3 linked regions of the Saccharomyces cerevisiae S288C genome follow. The gene in region 1 interacts genetically with each later gene. Each region holds a gene or a part of one and is shown in the gene's direction. Other genes may lie near its edges.

What was found. Genes that interact genetically often act in the same process or in processes that back each other up.
Region 2: of GPX1 (region 1) and HMX1, extra expression of one rescues a mutant of the other (dosage rescue), as found in Saccharomyces cerevisiae (one study listed by BioGRID).
Region 3: mutations in GPX1 (region 1) and TSA2 impair growth when combined (synthetic growth defect), as found in Saccharomyces cerevisiae (one study listed by BioGRID).

What each region holds. Positions count from the first base shown.
Region 1 is NC_001143.9:388,880-391,860, reverse strand, and holds GPX1 (glutathione peroxidase GPX1), read left to right. Parts: upstream 1-1,977; coding exon 1,978-2,481; downstream 2,482-2,981. Other genes in the region: PAN-complex poly(A)-binding subunit PAN3, read left to right, coding at 1-1,621; TCD2 (tRNA threonylcarbamoyladenosine dehydratase), read right to left, coding at 2,956-2,981. UniProt on the Saccharomyces cerevisiae protein: Glutathione peroxidase-like protein that protects cells from phospholipid hydroperoxides and nonphospholipid peroxides during oxidative stress. Has peroxidase activity using thioredoxin or glutathione as a reducing power. Involved in peroxisome formation.
Region 2 is NC_001144.5:552,224-555,540, reverse strand, and holds HMX1 (Hmx1p), read left to right. Parts: upstream 1-1,863; coding exon 1,864-2,817; downstream 2,818-3,317. Other genes in the region: ENT2 (epsin), read right to left, coding at 1-963; mitochondrial 37S ribosomal protein mS38 QRI5, read right to left, coding at 2,936-3,271. UniProt on the Saccharomyces cerevisiae protein: Plays an important role in the degradation of heme under conditions of iron deprivation.
Region 3 is NC_001136.10:1,364,572-1,367,472, reverse strand, and holds TSA2 (thioredoxin peroxidase TSA2), read left to right. Parts: upstream 1-1,810; coding exon 1,811-2,401; downstream 2,402-2,901. Other genes in the region: GUK1 (guanylate kinase), read left to right, coding at 646-1,209; PPN1 (endopolyphosphatase), read right to left, coding at 2,571-2,901. UniProt on the Saccharomyces cerevisiae protein: Thiol-specific peroxidase that catalyzes the reduction of hydrogen peroxide and organic hydroperoxides to water and alcohols, respectively.

The sequences.
Region 1 (2,981 bases):
AACTACCGCTTCGAGTTCCAATTACGACCCCTTCAATGCCCCCATTTTCACTCCGTCTTCAACCTCCTCAATTCACACTAATGCAAATGCACATTCTTTTCCATTTCCCTCCATTGCAAATTCTGGTGGCATAAATATAAACGCCACTGATGATAATAGTAACAATATGAGTATGGCTAATAATGTGCCACCTCCTATGCAACCGCCACCCATAGAGAGTAGTAATCTTAAGTACCCACGTATTTATCCGCCTCCTCACAGTCTTCTACAGTATCACCTATATGCACCTGAACAGCCATCATCATTGAAATCATTATTAAAGCCTAATGAAAGGTCTGCAGATCAGCTTTTCATTCCAAACAATATTAGAGAAGATTTAACCAAGAAAAACTTATCGATTTTGCAGGTTTTCCCCTCTTCAGGTAAAGTTATACCAAGTATTGTACAAGATTATTTTAATTTGGTTCCATTGAACTTCAATAATAACGATTTTTTAAATAAAACTACGCTCTTCAAAGTTTTTTCCAATTATGACGGTAAAGCCTACGTTTTGAAGAGGCTTCCTAACATCGATAAGTCAATGAATCCAAACAAAATATCCAAAATATATCAGATATGGTCAAAAATTAATTGTACAAATTTGATAAAGTTTAGGGACATTTTTCAAACTACTAAATTTGGTGATCTGTCTATTTGTTTGGTCTTTGACTACTACCCAAACTCGCTATCTTTGTATGATTACCACTTTGTTAATTTCCCTAAGTTTCCAATAACGAATAATTATTTATGGATATATTTAGTTCAACTCACCAATGTAATAAACTCTATCCATTCACAAAACTTGAGTATTGGCAATACATTAAACTGGAGAAAAGTTTTGATTACTGGGGACCCAGGGAGAATCAAGTTATCACACTGCAATTTTATGGACCTTTTGTTCAATGATGATACTGATACCGTAGTATCTTCCGGCGGAAGTACCATAGAGGGACAACAACAGCTAGACTACAAATATTTAGGAGAGCTATTATTTAACCTATCCATTAATATTGAAAACTCTAATAACAACACTGCCCCTAAAGAATATCGATTGGAGGAAATAACCCCTCAATCAATTGATGACATGAGACAGATCGATGATAAGTTCAAGGATGTACTCAAGTATCTGATATCAGACAACGGCGATTCCAAAAAGAGCATTCATGATCTTACTAGTCACTTTTATGATAAGATGTTCATGGTCCTGGAATCGTCACAAACCTATACAGAATACATGGAGTCTGTCTTATCAAGAGAACTAGAAAATGGCAGATTATTTAGGCTGGTCAACAAGCTAAATTGCATTTTTGGTAGAATCGAATCAAGAATAGACATAAATTGGTCCGAATCTGGGACTAAATTCCCCATTATACTATTTTATGACTACGTATTCCATCAAGTGGATTCGAATGGGAAACCAATAATGGATTTAACTCATGTCCTAAGATGTTTGAACAAATTAGACGCTGGTATTCAAGAAAAGTTAATGTTGGTAACGCCCGATGAGTTAAACTGTATTATTATATCCTATAAGGAGTTGAAGGACTTGATAGAATCCACCTTTCGATCCATCACCCAATAAAACAACACCAAATAATGTAGATACACACATATATATTAATTATACATTAGTATCCCCTTGACATACCCCACTACCGTCTTCATGTGGAAAATTTTCCGTATTTGCTTTCCCCTTCTGTTCCCTAATTCTATAGGGTAAGCGATTCATCCCTTGTTCGCCACATCTAAGAGAACTTAAAGCCGGGGCTCACCTCTACTACAGAGATTGCTTATGGTGAACAATATTAAGTGATTATATAACACAGTAATGTACAAATATATTTTAGTCATGTAGGTGATATTGTGCACGGCGAGGTTCTCTGATTGTGAACCCGTATAAGGAATATAAGCGGAGAAACACAATATTTATAAGTAACGATGCAAGAATTTTATTCTTTTTCACCAATAGATGAAAACGGAAATCCATTCCCCTTCAACTCCCTGCGTAACAAAGTGGTTTTGATAGTCAATGTAGCATCTCATTGTGCGTTCACACCTCAATACAAGGAATTAGAGTACTTGTACGAAAAATACAAATCACATGGTCTAGTGATTGTGGCCTTTCCCTGTGGTCAATTCGGAAATCAAGAGTTCGAGAAGGATAAAGAGATTAATAAGTTCTGTCAAGATAAATATGGTGTAACCTTCCCTATTCTACATAAGATCCGTTGCAACGGGCAAAAGCAAGATCCCGTCTACAAGTTCTTAAAGAATTCAGTAAGCGGGAAGTCTGGAATAAAAATGATAAAATGGAATTTTGAAAAGTTTGTGGTAGACCGAAATGGGAAGGTGGTTAAAAGGTTTTCATGCATGACTAGGCCACTAGAGCTTTGTCCAATAATCGAAGAATTACTGAATCAACCACCAGAAGAACAGATTTAATTTGCGGTCAACGAAGTTGAAAACGGAAAAGTGGTGATAAGAATGAAAATAAAAGACATATAATTGAATAGTCTCTGTCACCCTTGCTATCGTATCAACAGTTGCTCTTCTATCTTGTTTTGCGTATGTATTTTTTCTAAGAAGAATATGTAGGTTTTAGTCATTTTTTGTTGATTAAGGGAATGAAAATTGTCCTAAAGAACCCTTTCAGTGGTTCAGCTTTGAGAAGTTTCAATATTGATTTCCGTCGCATGCCTCATCGTTAATTTTTCTCTAGTTTTTATTTATTTCAGAAATTCAAGTTTTTTACTTTCAAGAAATTAAATAATGTAATTTTACAAATAAACATAAACAAGTAGAAGTAAATGAAGAAGCATAAAAATAGTTTTCTATATGGTATGAGTCCGAAAAGCCTCCTGGAATAGTACGTAACTCTATGGAAGAAAATGCTTTATATGTTGGAAAGGAACAAGATCATCTGAATTGAGAGTAATAAGCTT
Region 2 (3,317 bases), on another chromosome or scaffold:
TTGCTGTTGCAAGGCAGAAGCGGCGGCCGCAGCTTGTTGTTGCTGCTGAAAATATTGTTGTTCAGCAAGCTGCTGTTGTTCTTGCTGCTGGTCCAGCCATCTTTGCTGAGCCATTGCTTGTTCCTGGTCCTGTTGGTACTGATACTGTAAGTATTCATCTTGGGAGATTGGATTACCGAAAATGTCGTAGTACGCTGGTTGTTGTTGTGGTTGTTGTTGTTGTAAAGGAGCTTGAAATTGAGACAGAGACTGTTGTTGCTTCTGTAATCTCTGTAGTTCCTGCAATTGCTTCAACTCCTCTTCTTCTTTACTTAGTTGTAAGGCAGCTTGGAAGTCAGGATCTTCATCGTCGTACTGGGCCAGTTCTCTTCTACGTTGTTCATCTTCTTGAGCAGTAATTCTGCTCTCCTCTAGGGCCTTTTCCAAATCGTCCTGGTAAGAGGGAGAAGAATCGTGTGGGTTGCTCCTTGTTCTTTGTCTTCTTGGCCTTGGCCTAGCAGCTCTGTTCGCCCTTCTGTTTCTTGTATTCATAGACCTCTCTTCGCGTAGCCTTTCTTCATCATTCAACAAAGAGACGAGTTCTTTAGCCTTTACTCTGATAATTTGTCCCTCGTCAAATCCGGACTCATTTTCGTGTCTGAATTCCCTTAATGTCTTAATTACGTAAAAATTCTCTCTGCACCATAGCACACAGTTCTCACTCCCGAAACGAACAAGATAGTCCAAAACGGTCAGCGATTTGGCAACGTGTCTCCAGTATTTGCCCTTATCGTTCAGCCTCTTGTCTAACATATCCATAATCTCGAAGAAGTCCACCGAATCGTAAGATCTCTGTGCCAAATCGTCGAGAGTGTCTATCGATGGAGTCCTCGAGTCGTTCGCCGTGGCATCTCTCACAAGCACTTGTGTGGATGAGTAGCCCTTCATCATGTTCTTTGCAGAACGAACAAACTGCTTAGACATTACTTACAAAACAAATACACTTAATAGGGGTGTGTCAAAATAAACAAAAGAAGATGATAAGAATTTGTGAAGGTCAAACTAGAATGTGAGCGTATTCGCAGTTGTAGGCAAAACAGAACAAAATAATTAAATAAACGAACGCCTCCTTCAACAAAGGTCAATAATGTAGCAAAATATTGGGAGTGTGTCAATCCTTGAAAGGGTCCGTAACTAAACTCTTCTTTCTTTAGTTTCCACTACTTTTTTTTTCACCCTTCGCCGCAGGGTAATTTCTTGTAGGCCATGTATATACGATTAATCGTTACACATAAAATGCGGTTTGGACAAACAATACAATGGATCGTGCGGGATACTGCCAGACTACGCTATGCTCGACTGTAGAATACTGAGTGGTGATATCGCCCCTTCGGTATTGTGATCTTGGGCGCACTTGTTTATCTAACAGGTGCGGGTGCAAGTTTACTAGAGCATCGTCGTATGATGGGGAAAGTCAGGGTGTATGTGCCCGTCGATTGAGCACCAAGACCCGTTGCCATGTGCATATGTTATTGTACCCATAGAGGCAGTCCACGTTCGGCCATCTATCTATCTTTAGATAAACGGATCATTGGCGATACCGCCTGGCCATTTGCACCTGCTCGGGGTCGGCGTTATCGGACCGTGGAATTTGAGCCATGTAACACACGGTTTCAAACATGGGCTAATGACCTTCATAAGTAGGACGATTTACACCTGAGTTGGGTGTGATGGAGCAATGGCCAGGTGCCCCTCTCGCCCTCTTGTGTTTGTATATAAGAGCAACCTCCTCATACTCTCTTGCTTAGTCTAAGGAGGAGCTATTTAACAGTGCACAATATAACACAGCATATATACACACACACACATAAAATAACCGCAAAAATGGAGGACAGTAGCAATACAATCATACCCTCACCCACTGACGTGGGGGCGCTAGCAAACAGAATCAACTTTCAAACCAGAGATGCCCACAATAAAATCAATACCTTCATGGGCATAAAGATGGCCATCGCCATGAGACATGGCTTTATATACAGACAGGGTATTCTGGCGTACTATTATGTGTTCGATGCCATCGAGCAAGAGATAGATCGCCTACTGAATGACCCCGTAACGGAGGAGGAGCTGCAAACTTCGACCATTCTGAAGCAGTTTTGGCTCGAAGATTTTAGAAGATCTACGCAGATCTATAAGGACCTGAAGCTGCTATACTCAAACACGTTTAAAAGCACAGAATCATTAAACGAATTCCTGGCTACGTTCCAGAAGCCACCGCTACTACAGCAGTTTATCAATAACATCCACGAAAACATACACAAGGAGCCATGCACCATTCTTTCTTACTGTCACGTTCTGTACTTGGCGCTTTTCGCCGGCGGCAAGCTAATACGATCGAATTTGTACAGAAGACTGGGGCTCTTCCCCAACTTCGAGAAGCTATCACAGAAGGAACTGGTCAAAAAGGGCACAAACTTCTTCACCTTCAGCGATCTGGGTCCCACTGAAGAAACACGCTTGAAATGGGAATACAAGAAGAACTATGAGCTGGCCACCAGGACGGAATTGACCGAAGCACAAAAGTTGCAGATCATTAGCGTCGCAGAAGGCATTTTTGATTGGAACTTCAACATCGTTGCAGAAATTGGAGAGTTGAATCGTCGCGAGTTAATGGGCAAGTTCAGCTTCAAGTGTATTACGTACTTGTACGAAGAATGGATGTTCAACAAGGATTCTGCTACTAGAAGAGCACTCCACACGGTCATGCTGCTGGTGCTTTCTATTATCGCGATCTGGGTTCTTTACTTCTTGGTAAAGAGTTTTCTTAGCATAGTATAACGTATAAAAAAAAAAGTCTAAATACAAACATAATATATACATGAAATAATATCAAAATATGAAGAATAGGGAAGGAAAAACAGCAGAGAAAAACATGTGAGAGGTTTTTACAGCCCTATTATCTACCCTGAGATAGCTTTCTTCTTTCTGCCTTCTCCCTCTTTCTTCTTTTCCGCAGTTTGTGTTTCTTCATCTTTTTTTTCCTCTTTCTCATCACTGAATCGAGTTGCATCACTATATTTGAACCGTTTAATGGCTCACTGACTGTGCCAGTGATCCTTGTTGCCGTAGCCGTCATCATCATCATTGTACTCAGCATGCCCTCTTGCATGGGAGGCATTGTAGTGTTAATTGCTGTTTGAAAGGTTCTGTTAAAGTAGGACCCGCAACTTGGTTTCTTAACCACCGTCCTAGTAATGCCCAGCCACCCAGGTCGCAATGCCCTTCCTAGCATGTTTATCTCGTTCTGGTGTCGTGTGTGCTCGTCTTGGCTGGAACTC
Region 3 (2,901 bases), on another chromosome or scaffold:
ATGTACTGACAGCGATAAAAGATTATCCTCTGAATTTCACTGCTTGCAATCTATGTTTAATCTACAACTATTTGTCAATCTTGGGTGCCCTTTATCTTAGAGTAGCTAGAAAAGCAACGGAAACAGAAAAAGTCACACCGTGAATAATGATTGTTCGATATCAACTTTTGCAGTTCCTTGCTATCACGTTTGTGCAAGGTATATCATCTGTCATAATCCTTTGGCAAGACTACTGCTCTGCTACTCCTTGTGTGTGCTCACGGCAGGCTACAATGCAAAATTCATCCTAAACTCTGCTCTATAAGCATTAATAAGGTGAAATTTTCACAGCCTTTACATAAAAAACGACAGTAAGTGTATAAATGTGATTGTCAAAACTGCGACGATTCGAAATGATAGCTATTTGAAGTGTAGGTTATATCGACAGGAAGTTTCGGTTCTCGAAATATGTGATGCGTCTTTCCGGCGGCGTCGATGCTAATAGCAACCGTACTCATCGGTACATTCCAAATTTCGAAAAAAAGCTTGGAAACACATAAAAAAGAAAAAAAAAAATACATTTAGCATAAATGGATACACAATGGCGTTTCTTTTTAGTTGATAACTACAGTTTACTTCGGATAAAGATTAGTAAACCTTTGCGTTATGTCCCGTCCTATCGTAATTTCTGGCCCAAGTGGTACAGGTAAATCTACACTGTTGAAGAAATTGTTCGCTGAATACCCAGATTCTTTCGGGTTTAGTGTTTCATCCACTACTAGAACCCCAAGAGCTGGCGAAGTAAACGGTAAGGACTATAACTTTGTCTCCGTAGATGAATTCAAATCTATGATTAAGAACAATGAATTCATTGAATGGGCGCAATTCTCCGGTAACTACTATGGTAGTACTGTCGCTTCCGTCAAACAAGTCAGTAAATCTGGTAAGACTTGTATTTTAGATATTGATATGCAGGGTGTCAAATCTGTCAAGGCTATCCCAGAGTTAAATGCCAGGTTTTTGTTTATTGCTCCACCATCGGTCGAGGATTTGAAAAAAAGATTAGAAGGTAGAGGTACGGAGACCGAAGAATCCATCAACAAGAGGTTAAGCGCCGCTCAAGCTGAATTGGCATATGCTGAGACAGGTGCCCATGACAAAGTTATTGTCAATGATGATTTGGACAAGGCCTACAAGGAATTGAAGGATTTTATCTTTGCAGAAAAATGATGTAGCCCTATATAGACATTACTAAGTATGTACCTGGTAGGAGAGTGCTGTCGCAAAGCGACAAAACGTCCAATTATTCAATTAATATAGTGTAAAAGTTCTCAACGGGCTTATGCTAGTTTTTTTTGTTAGTAAGCGCTACGACGACTAGAACCATCTCTTGAATTTCCAAGTGCCAAAATCAATGACCACGGATACTGTGGCCAGGAATCTGTTGGTTGGTCATCCTCAAGATCTAGACAATATCATATTGGGCCAGTATCTGATTATCTTAACTATATGCGCCCCTCTAGTTTACAAGTTTTAGTCATTGGGGGTTGGAAGGGCTGATCCCCCCTTACAATTGGCGTCGTTTAGGAGCGGGCGAGGCTCTCCTTTCTCTTACACATCTGCTAAGGTGTTTGTTACCCGAGTAATCAAGGATCAACTATGGATGAGATTTAGATTAACGTATTTAGAGCAGACGATTGTAAGAATATATTTTGTAATTTCGATTGTTTTTTGCTACTTACATTGTTTATCTTGAAATATCCAAAGTGAACACTATTACTGTTTTTTGCTCAAGAATATATTAGCCTTACAAGAACGTAAAAAACCAATCATGGTAGCAGAAGTTCAAAAACAAGCCCCACCATTTAAGAAAACCGCCGTAGTCGACGGTATCTTCGAGGAAATTTCACTGGAAAAGTATAAAGGTAAGTACGTTGTTCTAGCTTTTGTCCCATTGGCTTTTTCATTTGTCTGTCCAACTGAGATTGTTGCGTTTTCCGATGCCGCCAAGAAATTCGAAGATCAGGGCGCCCAAGTTTTATTTGCCTCCACCGACTCTGAATATTCCTTACTGGCATGGACCAACCTTCCCAGAAAAGACGGTGGATTAGGTCCAGTTAAAGTTCCTTTGCTTGCTGATAAGAATCATTCCTTATCCAGAGACTATGGCGTTTTGATTGAAAAAGAAGGTATAGCTTTAAGAGGTTTGTTCATAATCGACCCGAAGGGAATCATTAGACATATCACTATCAATGATTTATCTGTTGGCAGAAACGTCAATGAAGCTTTGAGATTAGTCGAAGGTTTCCAGTGGACTGACAAAAATGGTACAGTTTTGCCATGCAACTGGACCCCAGGAGCCGCCACCATCAAACCTGACGTTAAAGATTCCAAGGAGTATTTCAAAAATGCCAATAATTAATCTTCGCACGATAACGCTAGGCCCTATTAAATAATTAAAAATACATCACCCTATATATGATAAGAAAGATGGTTTTGTATTATTATGAAATTGACTTGAAAGAATAGTGTAACAAAAGAAAAAGAAACTGTAATTGAAGAATGATATGCATTTCTATGTGTATATTAACTTAATCATCTTTATATCCAGAAGACGCAAATGACCATTCGACGTATTTTTCCCATGCAGGTTTGTTTTCGTATAATCTGCCTGCAAGATCCAAATAACTTCCTACTGTTAACGAATCCATTGAGTATGGTTTCTCGTCTGAGGTATATTCTATCTCATACCTGAAAATATCCTTAGATTCAACAAATGAATTATGTAATTCTTGATTGATTTTTTCCAAGTCGGCGTAGAATTGGACGAAACGCGTCGGAGTGAATAACTGCGGTACATATGCAGGGCCGAGTTCGTATTTGTCTGGCATCTCAATTGGCATAGTCTTGTCATTTTTCTTT